Linked DNA regions of Macaca mulatta. The protein of the gene in region 3 interacts with the protein of the main gene of each other region in a biochemical or structural test. Links are inferred from orthologs where the notes say so. Each region holds a gene or a part of one and is shown on either strand. Other genes may lie near its edges.

Region 1 (3,651 bases), on a different chromosome or scaffold from region 3:
CCCATCTCCACTGCTGGTTCCTCTCTCTCCAGGCTGTGAACTCCAGCCTTCTCCAGGGCCCAGGGCTTGGAATACCACCTGTCTGCTAAGGATTCCTGGATCCTGTCTCCCCTGACACCAGCCTTCTGGTTCCCACCATCCACTCATCACCCGTACTCAGATGCTCTGCTGAGGCTGTGGGGTCCAGTTCACCCATGCCCAGTGCTCACCCTCCCAACAGCCTCCCCATCTAATGACGACGAGGTCTCTCCTGCAGCCCAGGCCAAGGGCCTTGATTATTCCTTCACGCACAGCCCAATCCCACCTGCCGGCAAGCCCCAGGGCTCTATCTTCAAAACATCTCAGAGTCCAGGTGCTCCCACCCTGTGCCCCTGCCCTGGCCTGGCCCAGGCCACCAGCCCCTCTCAGCTTCATGGAGCCAGAGCTGGCCATACTGTTAGTCGGGTGCCTCCGACAGCCCCAGCTCACCCCAGCTCACCCGAGGGAGCCCTGGTTCCCCAGCGGCCCCCAGGAACTGCACGTGGGCGGACCTGTCTCCTGTCTGCTCTCACGGCCCTCCCATGGCTCTGCTGTGCACCTGCCGCCTGTACGATAGGCTCACGACCTGGGTGCCTCCACCAGGACTTCCGGCCCGGTGCTGTCCGCTTATGGCCCAAACTCTCTGCACACAGTAGGTACTCAATAAATACAGAACCTGTTGACTGAGGAGCAGCACTTTCAGTCCCCAGCCAGCTCGGGACTGGTCTTCGCTCATTCCCATGAACCTGTCTCACCACAGAGCCCACACCCATGCTCACAGCCGTTCCACTGGGAATCCAGGTTCTTCCCATGTTATCACCCTGCTCCCTGATGAATTCAACAGACTGTTTCTGGGTGCGTGTCACTCGGTGGCTCTCAAAGCCTGGTCCCCCATGTAGCAGCATTGACACTGTGTGTGTCCACTTGCTAGCGGTGGGAATTCCCGGTCAGTCCTGCTGAGTAGGACACTCTGGGAACAAGCCCCGCTGGGGTTCGAGAGCTGCTGAGGTGTGAGGACACTGTGGTGACCCAGCACAGGCCTGTGCACACAGCGGGGGCTCACCACCGCCCCACTTTCCAAACACAGAGGGTCACTGCCTTAAGGCAGTTCAATTTAGGATTCTTAACTCTGTTACGGTGTGCCAGTGATGCAGATTTAGCGCACTGCCTGGCTCAGGATGGCTTTATCAGCTGAGCCCCACCGTTGACTGGGAGCTCCAACAGGTCCACGCCACAGGGGCTGCCTACAGCCTCCAGTTCCCTTCTGCACAAATGCACAAATAATCTGATTCTACGTATTCTCTGTTGTTGTCGTCCAAATGTTAAGACAACTGCCAGGGTTGGCAAAGATGCCTGTCATTGTGTGGTGACATCTTTCTTGCCTACATCACAGGTTGGTGGCTTTGGAGGCAGGGAAGAAGCAAACCATGGCCCTGGCCTAGAATAGCTGGACGCTCAGCCGGTCAGGAGGTGCCAGAAGAGGGTGCAGCTCCATCGCCCCCAACTCCCATCCCCGGCGGTCAGCCCCGGACCTCTGAGGCAGGCGGGTGGCCAGTGCTTGGCCACACATCCTATCCTGGTCTGGGAGTTGCCAACGTGTGCTCCCATGAGGAGTTTTTCAGTCCAAAGTCCCAGCACGATGCATCCATGACCAGCCTGGCGTGGGAAGCATGGGGGTGCCCTGGTCCACACAGTAGCTGCTGCTGCCGAGCCAGGGAAGCCCATCTCCTGGCCATCCGAGGCATGCCCTGCTCTGCCTTGCCCACTGGGATTCGAGGCACGAATTTCTCTGTCTGGAAACCTGACCACAATGCTCAAACTCCTGCAGACGCCCCTGGTCCCCAGCAGAGCCTGAGCAGCCAGATCTGTGTCTAACATCTTTGCTCTGCTGTGGCCAGGACGGTGCTGGGCCCAGGTGAGGGGACTGTGTCCCCATGTCCCCTGCACACCGCACCCCACCCTGCCAGGCATCCCTCCGTGCCCTGGTCCGCAGGCGGAGGTAAAGGGGCCGGGCCTCACCTGCCCTGGGGCAGCAGGATGTTGTTCACGCCTCCCAGCTTGACGTTGATCTTCAGGCAGAGGTTGGACAGCGTCTGCGGTGTGGTCCTCTGCACGTTCTTCATCTGCACGCACTGTGTGGCCATCCCCAGCACTGTGTCTCCCACGCGCTTGACCTCGGCTAAGGGGCACGAGAGGCACACACACAGCTCTGCTGGCGCCCCTTCCTCAGCTGGCCCTGGGAGCGGCAGCTGCCACCAGCCCTCTTGCCCCCATCTGGCAAGCGCAACCATGGCAGCTGTGCTGAGCTCTGCATGTCCCCTCTGTCCGAGGTCGGTGATAGAAGAGGGTCACTGGCCCCGAGGGGGATGCCAGGCTCCTTGGAGTCCAGGCTCCAGCACAGCTGTGCCCGCCTTGCCCAGGCCGGGCTTCCCCTCCCTCATAAAGGGAAGTTGAGTGAGTCTATCTCATCCCTCCAATTTAAATGCCTCACCTAGGGGCCTAGGGGCCCCAGGGCAGGAGAGAAAGAGCCCAGCTAAAAGGAAGGACTTGGCTCTTCTGCTCAGAAAGGCCACTTATACTGGCCGGGCACGGTGGCTCACACTGGTAATCCCAGCACTCTGGGAGGCCAAGGCAGGCGGATCACCTGAGGCCAAGAGTTCTTCCCATGTTATCACCCTGCTCCCTGCCAACATGGCAAAACCCCATCTCTACTAATAATACAAAAATTAGCCGGGCATGGTGGTGTGTGCCTGTAATCCTAGCTACTCGGGAAGCTGAGGCAGAAGAATCGCTTGAACTCGGGAGGTAGAGGTTGCAGTGAACCAAAATTACACCACTGCACTCCAGGCTAGGAGACAGGGCCAGCCCTTGTCTCAAAAAAAAAAAAAAAGAAAGAAAAAAAGGAAAAAAAGGAAGGTCACTCACACCACGGTGCGCTGGCTGCAAGCAAATGCTTTGGTGGTTAAAAATAAAAACACTGGCACCCTCAAAATCCTTGGCAGATGTAAACCTGACATCAAAGAGCTCCATGGACCCACCCCCCGCTATTCCTGGTCTCTTTCATGAAGCAACCGGTCAGCTGCTCACTGGGCAGATCTGGGGAAATGGTGACCCCGGGACAATGTTACAGAATGTCAACACCAATAGCTTTTTCTTCCCTTCTTTTTTTGGGATGTTGAACTTAGAGAAGTGTGGCTTTTACATGTCCATAATCTGTCTGTGGTTGGGCGTGGGGCCCTGTGGGTGACCCCCTGGCATGGACTTTGGCAAAACGCCACAGAATTCTGAGGTGGGCACAGAGGTTACACACGGGCTGAGTCCCGAGCAGGAGCTGACCCTGGTGCAGCGCTCTGTGCGTTAAACAAACGCTCCTCCATCCTGCCAACACGCATGCTGTGTGATGGATGGGGTGCCCACCCATGTGCCAAGGCATGTGCCACCTGAGGTGCTGACTGCCCACGAGCACGGCATCATACAGGACGACGGGGAGGCCCCGAACACAGACTTGGCAGTGATCAGAAGCCACCTCTTCTTCCTCAGCCTCCTGGAAGGCCCGAAAGGATCACCTTTCTCAGTGCAGCAGAAACACACAGGGGCTCAGGCAGGAACAAACACCATGGAGACCACGACGGC
Region 2 (3,651 bases), on a different chromosome or scaffold from region 3:
ACAGGGATCTGGCCGCTGACCAGGGCCTCATGCAGCATTCGCCAGCTCACAATGGCTAGCCACTTGATGGAGACCTTAAAGATTCGATCCTTCCCTTCCCCAGGGATTGTCACCTCAAAGTCGACCTTCAGGAGGGTGAGAGAAAGGAGTGAAGGATTGCCATTGCTCTACGAGAATGACCCCCAACTCCATGGATTTGCTGAGAATAAGTTTCTCAAGTTGACAGGGGCTCATAATGAAGACCCCAAAGTAAGTCCAGCCCCTTAGGTTCTAGCCACCTTGGCTCAGTGCTTCTCTTCCTCTCAACTACCTCTCAGCCTAGCAGGAAGTCCTTTAGGTCTATTTTAAGTCTAATCTCAATCTGTTTAGGACACGGACAGGCATATGAGACTAAATAAACATCAGCACCTACCCACCCCTCACCCTAAAACATACTTTCTCAGCACAAAAGATGAAAAGGATCTCTGGATCACCAGACTCCAAAGAGGCTTACACGAGCTTGGTTCTACCCCAGACCCCTGACACAGGCCTAGCCTGACTCCCAACCTTACCCGTTCGTTGCCAATGGGCAGTGCTGTGACAGTGTAAATGTTCTTCTTTCCATCATACACAGGCTTGCGATCACCAAAGATCTGAGGCTTGAAATGCTGGACCATGTATTCCACCACTTCCCTGTGGGGGATAGGAGTGGCCTGTGGAAGCTGAGAGACTACCACCACTTCAAGCTTTTGGAAGTAATTCAAAGTCCAGGCAATGTCCCATCTATTATATTCACTCCTAACATCTACTCTATGACAGTGCTTCTCAAACTTTAACTTTCCTATGAATCACATGGAGATTTTATTAAAAGGTAGCTTCGGATTCAGCAGGTCTAGAGTGAAGCCTGAAATTCTGCATTTCTAACATGCTCCCAAGCGACACTGCTGGTCCTCAGACCACCAAGGCTCTAACGGACCTGAAAGAGTGGTGTGAGTGCCTTCTGAGAAGACGGGGAGGCTAAAGGGAGAAAAGCTTGACTCCAGGGTCTATCAAGAATCAGGAATAGGGCTAGGTATGGTGGCTGACACCTGTAATCCCAGTACTTTGGGCAGCCGAGGCAGGAGGATCACTTGAGCCTAGGAGCTCAAGGCTAGCTTAGGCAACAGAGTGAGACCCCATTTTCTACAAAAAAAAAAAAAAAATTTTTTTTTTAGTTAGCTGGGTATGGTAGCATGTGCCTATAATCCCAGTTGCTTGGGAGGTTGAGACAGGAGGATCACCTGAGGCTGGGAGTTTGGGGTTACAGTGAGCTATAATTACACCACTGCACTCCAGACTGGGGAACACAGTAAGAGCCTGTCTCAAAAAGAAGAAAAAAAAAAGAACAGCCAGGTGCAGTGGATCATGCCTTTAATCCCAGCACTTTCGCTTGAGCTCCCGAGGTTGAGACCAGCCTGGGCAACACAGAGAAATTCCGTCTCTACAAAAAATGCAAAAATTAGTCAGGCATGGTGGTGTGTGCCTATAGCCCCAGCTACTCAGGAGGCTGAAGTGGGAGGATCACTTGAGCCTGAGAGGCAGAGGTTGCAGTGAGCTGAGATCATGTCACTGCACTCCAGTCTGGGCGACAGAGCCAGATCTTGTCTCAAAAAAAATTAAAACAAAACAAAAAACAAATCAGGAACAGAATCCAGGCTGCTCCAATCTCGAATCCCAGATCTGATAAGCAAAAAAGGTAGAAGAGATGTGAACTGGAATAAGAATAAACCGTGGAAGAAAAATCTCATCTCTTCCATCTCTCTGAAGCACTTAGTCTCACCACCCTGTTTTTTCTCCATTACCATCTCTTACTTCCTGTCCTCTGAAACTTAGACCCCATGGTGTCCATTATTCCTTCAAAATTCCAGTTTATCTAACCAACTGACCTTCACACTTTCTAAATCAAAGTTCTTGAATACTACTGGATAACACAAATGGTACATTAGAAGCAACTGTGATTATATGGTTTCAATCCCAATTAGGCTTCAGTGCTGCCTAGCAATCTTTTTCATGTCCCTGATTACTTCCATCCCTCCTACTCTATGTAGACTATGTAGAACTTTCTCTACTAGCCTGTAACTCCAGAACCCATTCCTGTCTCCTATCAGGAAGCAGCTCTAATATCTTTAAAAAAGGCGGAGAATAGTACACAAGGCCACCCTCGAGTTACCAGACATATACACAAACATATTAATATGTGCGTGCATCAATTTTTCTCCTTTCCTCTTACACTCAAAATGACCCTTCCATGTATTATTTTTAAACATATGAAAATATATTCAACTTCACTTATTAGAAAAATACAATTTAAAATTAGACCAAGATCAGGATGCCAAAGATCAAAAAAATCTCAAATATCAAATTGGTGCAGGTATAGGAAGAGACTCTCTGATGCCTTATTGATGGGAGTATAGTTGGTACAACTTACCTTTAAAAACAAGTTGCAATATCTGAAAACTCTGAAATGTATTAGGCCAACAGTCCCACTCCTAGCAATTTATCCTACAAATACACTCATATTTGAGTGCAAAAATGAATCTATATATAATAATATTCAAGTTTCATTTTTGTAGCAGAATTTAGACTCAAATGTTCCTCAATAGATTTATTATATAAGTTATATCACAGCCACTCAACCTATGCAAAAGAATGAGGCAGATCCATATGTGCTGGTATGTAATACCTTCAAAAATATATTGTTCAGTGGAAAAATGCAAAGTACAGAACAATGTATAAAGAACCCTGTTTTGGGTGTTTAAAAATTTTATATGTGCATATATGCCTGCACATGTGTAGAATAGTATACGGAAGCATATTCAAGAATGGTAACAATTGGCTGGGCACGGTGGCTCATGCCTGTAATCCCAGTACTTTGGAAGGCTGAGGTGGGCGGACTGCTTGAGGTCAGGAGTTTGAGACCAGCCCAGCCAACATAGTGAAACCCTGTCTCTACTAAAAATTTAAAAATTAGCCAGGCGTGGTGGCAGGTGCCTGTAATCCCAGCTACTCGGGAGGCTGAGGCAGGAGAATCGCTTGAACCCGGGAGGCAGAGGTTGCAGTGAGTTGAGATCACGCCACTGCACTCTGGCCTGGATGACAGAGTGAAACTCCGTCTCAAAAAAAACAGAATGGTAACAATTGGTCAGGTATGGTGGCTCACGCCTGTAGTCCCAATACTTTGGGAGGCATAGGTAGGCAGATCACTTGAGGTCAGGAGTTTGAAACCAGCCTGGCCAACATGGTGAAACTCTGTCTCTACTAAAAACACCAATAAATTATGTGATGGGGGGCACCTATAGTCCCAGCTACTCAGGAGGCTGAGGCAGGAGAATCATTTGCCTGTCATCCCAGCTACTTGGGAGGCAGAGGCACAAGAACTGCCTGAACCTAGGAGGCAGAGAGTGCAGTGATCTGAGATGGTGCCACTGCACACCAGCCTGACAGAGCCTGAGGGAGGCTCTGTCTCCAAAAAAAAAAAAAAAAAAAAAAGGTAACAATTAATGGTACTGGGGGACTAGAGACCAGGATAGTAAGGAGACATTTTTCACTACTATCTTTCTGTGATATTTGAATTTTTTTATATTATACATATAGTTTTCAAATAATAATAAAATTAATTAAAGAAATATCGCA
Region 3 (3,651 bases):
GGTGGCCCTTTTGATTGTCCCATGCTCCAGTGCTAGAATTTGGTTGGTTTGGACCACTCCATTCTCCAATTTTCAACTCATCAGACCCAGTCGGCTGTTTCCATTCTCCCTGAGAGACCCCAGATGTCATTTTGTTCCCTTCACCCCATTTGTTGTCATTAGAGTCCTGGGGGCCAAAGTTCCAGGACCCACCCGTAGACCTGTTATTGTTGTCCCAAGAGTCATTTTTTGACCCAGTTGATTTCTGAACAGAAGCTCCTTTCCAGGAGTCCTCTCTCTCTTTTCCATTGTTCCCATTGTTTCCAGAATTGCTTTGTCCAGAGACTGTGTCAGTTCCAGAAGGCCCCCTAGCTGCACCCCAAGATCCAACACTCCCAGTCTTTCGATCTCCAGTGCTTTGTGAAGGGGCATCAGTGCTCCTGGAGGTGTTCCCCAAGCCCATTCCGAAGGGCATTCCCTTATTCTCCATGGGGTTTGGTGAACTTAAGTTCAAGGAGTTAGTGTTTCCATTTTTTGGTCCATCAGTGTTATGAATTTGAGCCTGTTCTCTGCCAGAGACAACAAAATTAACACCCGCATTTTCCATCTTTGACTGCTGTTCCCTGGATGTCTGACCTACTGTGCTAACCTGTGCACTGGAATTACTATTCTCTGCTTCCAATGCCCCTTTCCTAGAAGTTCCTTCTTGGACCAGTGCTGGCCAGGCAGATGGGTTGCTATTTGGGTTAAAGTTGCTGAAGCCAGAGCCAGGTCCAATTCTATCCTGACCACTCACATTCCTCCAATTTCCTAGTCCATTGTTGTTCTCTGTAGTTGAGTTGGAAGATTGAACAGATTTAGCCTTAGGGTCAGATTTCCAGACCCCAAGATTACATTCGTTCCCAGAACTTGCAGACTGGCACTGGCTCCCTTTTCCTTTGTTACTAGTGGTGCTTCCTGGCAGAGTGCTCTTCTCAGAGCCAGGGTTCGAGGCACTGTTGTTATCGGTGGTGTTTTCGGAAGAAGATTCAGTGTCTTTGCTGGCAATACAAGGCCACTCTTCCATGTCAGACCCGTCTACAATCACCTTGTCCCAGATGTGAATTGGGTTGGGGGAGGTGCCGTTGTTGGAGGAGGCTCCCGAGCCCCAAGTGGAATTTGCATAATTTGAAGCAGCAGCACCTCCAAGGGTTGAGTCTGGGGAAGAGATCATCTTATTAATCACAGCTTCACATGCATTCATTACCCATTAATCCCTCAAAGGGGCTCTCCTTTGAGCTCTGCCCTTAGGAGAGCTAATCACATGCCAGTTTCTCTCAATCCAGTTGCTTGTATCACAACTGTCTTAGTCATCTCTTCTTTTTCATTTGCCTTGTGTTATACCGGCTACGTCTCACTTCATCTCTCTCAAAACTACACCCTTTGCCGTTCCTGTTGACAGAGAAGGGCCTTCTTGTATTTTGGGACAAGGCAGTAGCAATGACACTCTAAACCTGCTCTGTATCTCCAGTCCACTCTAAACACCCCTGGCTGGAGCAATCTTTCTAAAGCACACCTTCGATTATATCACTGCTGTATGGAGAACCTTCAACAGTTCCTTAGTGCACAAGAATAAAGGTGAATTCCTTGGCCTCGAATGTCATCAAGATGCTCCATGACCCGGGACCAACCAACTTTTCTAGTCTTATCTTCTCCTGCTTCCTATGTAGATGTTAATATTCCACACTACTTGACATTCCACAACTCATGCCTTCTCACTCTGGCACCATTCCACGTTGGCACCTACTGTGTTTTCCTGCTGAATTCACACAGTGAAATTTACTCATCCTTCTGGGCCCAATTCAAGTGTCATTTCATCTACCAAGCTGTTTTCAAGCTCATCACCTGAAAATAATCTTTCCCTGTCTAGAGCCATTTTGCTCAGCATTGCGGCACCATGTTCACAACTTTCCTTCCCCATGTTAGCATCTTTGAGGCAGAGACTCTAACTTGCTAACGTTAGAATTCCACGCAGCAGCCAGCACAATGCTGCTGAGTAAGCATCTGCTGAATGATGGATGCCCGCTGAGCCACTGAGCTCGGTGCCCGGGGTGGGGGGGTGTCACACGAGTATGAATTAGGCAGAGTTCACAACCCCAAGGAACTTAATCTGATAAATGAGGCTGGCTCACCATATATTTTGGTGGAATTTACCATATTTGGTGGGAAAAAATGTTTTTAATGAGATCATTTCTTCTCGATTTACTTTGGCTTCTTTAACCAGGCAGCTTTTAATCAATTTGAAGTTGCAAAGTACTATACAGAGGCACAGAAAAATAAAAAGCGTAGAATCCCAAACTCTTGAAATTTAGGGGCCTCCTTGGTTTTAATAATGTGCACTCTGACTCACACTGGCCCCAGGTCTCCACCTAGGCCTGGCTACACTGGGCTGCAGAAACTCCGCCCAACAGGGCCCGCCCCCTCACATGCTTCCTTTTGCAGCTGGTTAGGAGAGGCCAGGAAGGAAAGGCCATGGGTAGGGCTTATCTCTGCAGGAAGTCTGTGTCACCACGAGGTTTCTTTCCATCCTTACTCTGCACACAACAAGGTGGTGACCGAATTTTCTAGGCAATTATTTGTTCAAACTCAGAACTCCAATAAAGCATCCTACTGGTGACAACCATCAATCCATTGTCTTTGCCAATGCTTAATGGTATTCAAGCTCTGAATTTTAATATCACCCCAAAAGACATTTTAAGTTGAAATCTGTTAATAAACTTTAAAAGATATTTAGAATTTCTTAGCTGATAGTTGACTTAGTATTCATCTGTTAAAAACTCTCAAAACTTCTAGTAGAACCCTTCAGCTAAATCTCTTTTATTTCTACATACAGTTTTTAACAAAGCTCAAAATTCAGGGCCCTCAAAAGAAATACTGATTTTAAAAATCTAATTAAAAAGCTATAGAATAGTATTATTTTAGAATCCTCCCAAGATTCTATATTGCAATGTAGCAAATCATTTTCTCTATCCTCCTAGCATTCTGGAAACATAACACAGGCATCTAAAGATTCGCCTTCACACAAGCCCCGTGTCCAATTATGCCCTGAACACATATGACAGTGGAACTGTGGAGGTTCAAATTTATAACACTCTGGTCTGAGAAGGAAAAAAGGCCCCCAAAATAATGAGCATCAACAGCTAAAACAGCCCTCATGCCAAGAGCACACACTTATGGAACACTAACCCTCAGTTCCAAGAATCACCAATACACATCACATACTAGGATCCTCTCTCATCTTTTGACTAATCCCAGTGGTTTATACAATTAATGGCTCTCCTGGACTTTACATTAAGCAATGCAAACAAAGTGCTCTCTGTCTGTCAAGCTGCCATGCATTCGATTCACAGCATGCCTTACCTGGCGCAGTCCCACTCTCACTCTGCAGCAGCGCTCCTGTCACTTGTGCGTTGTTTGGGTTTGCTCCAGGTGCTGTGCAGGGAGGAGGCCCTGCCCCACCCCCAAGGAGCATGCAGGACGGTGGAGGGGGCTGCCCACGTTTTAGTAACACTTTGTGGTCCTGCTGGCAACGGAATCGCGGCGGCACCTCCCGAGGCATGTAGCGGGCGGCGCTTGGCGGTTGTCCGTTCGGCACTGCCACCCTTTTGGCATTGTTGCCACCATTGACTGGTG

The links.
Region 1: the proteins of TNRC6B (region 3) and AGO2 form a complex in vitro, tested with the Homo sapiens proteins (3 studies listed by BioGRID and IntAct, with this or other methods). The link is inferred for Macaca mulatta from reciprocal best matches to the Homo sapiens genes TNRC6B and AGO2.
Region 2: the proteins of TNRC6B (region 3) and AGO1 form a complex in vitro, tested with the Homo sapiens proteins (2 studies listed by BioGRID and IntAct). The link is inferred for Macaca mulatta from reciprocal best matches to the Homo sapiens genes TNRC6B and AGO1.

The regions. Positions count from the first base shown.
Region 1 is NC_133413.1:150,868,805-150,872,455, forward strand, and holds part of AGO2 (protein argonaute-2), read right to left. Parts: intron 2,198-3,651; coding exon 2,038-2,197; intron 1-2,037.
Region 2 is NC_133406.1:204,916,780-204,920,430, forward strand, and holds part of AGO1 (protein argonaute-1), read right to left. Parts: intron 673-3,651; coding exon 552-672; intron 126-551; coding exon 1-125.
Region 3 is NC_133415.1:11,263,467-11,267,117, forward strand, and holds part of TNRC6B (trinucleotide repeat-containing gene 6B protein), read right to left. Parts: coding exon 3,379-3,651; intron 1,177-3,378; coding exon 1-1,176.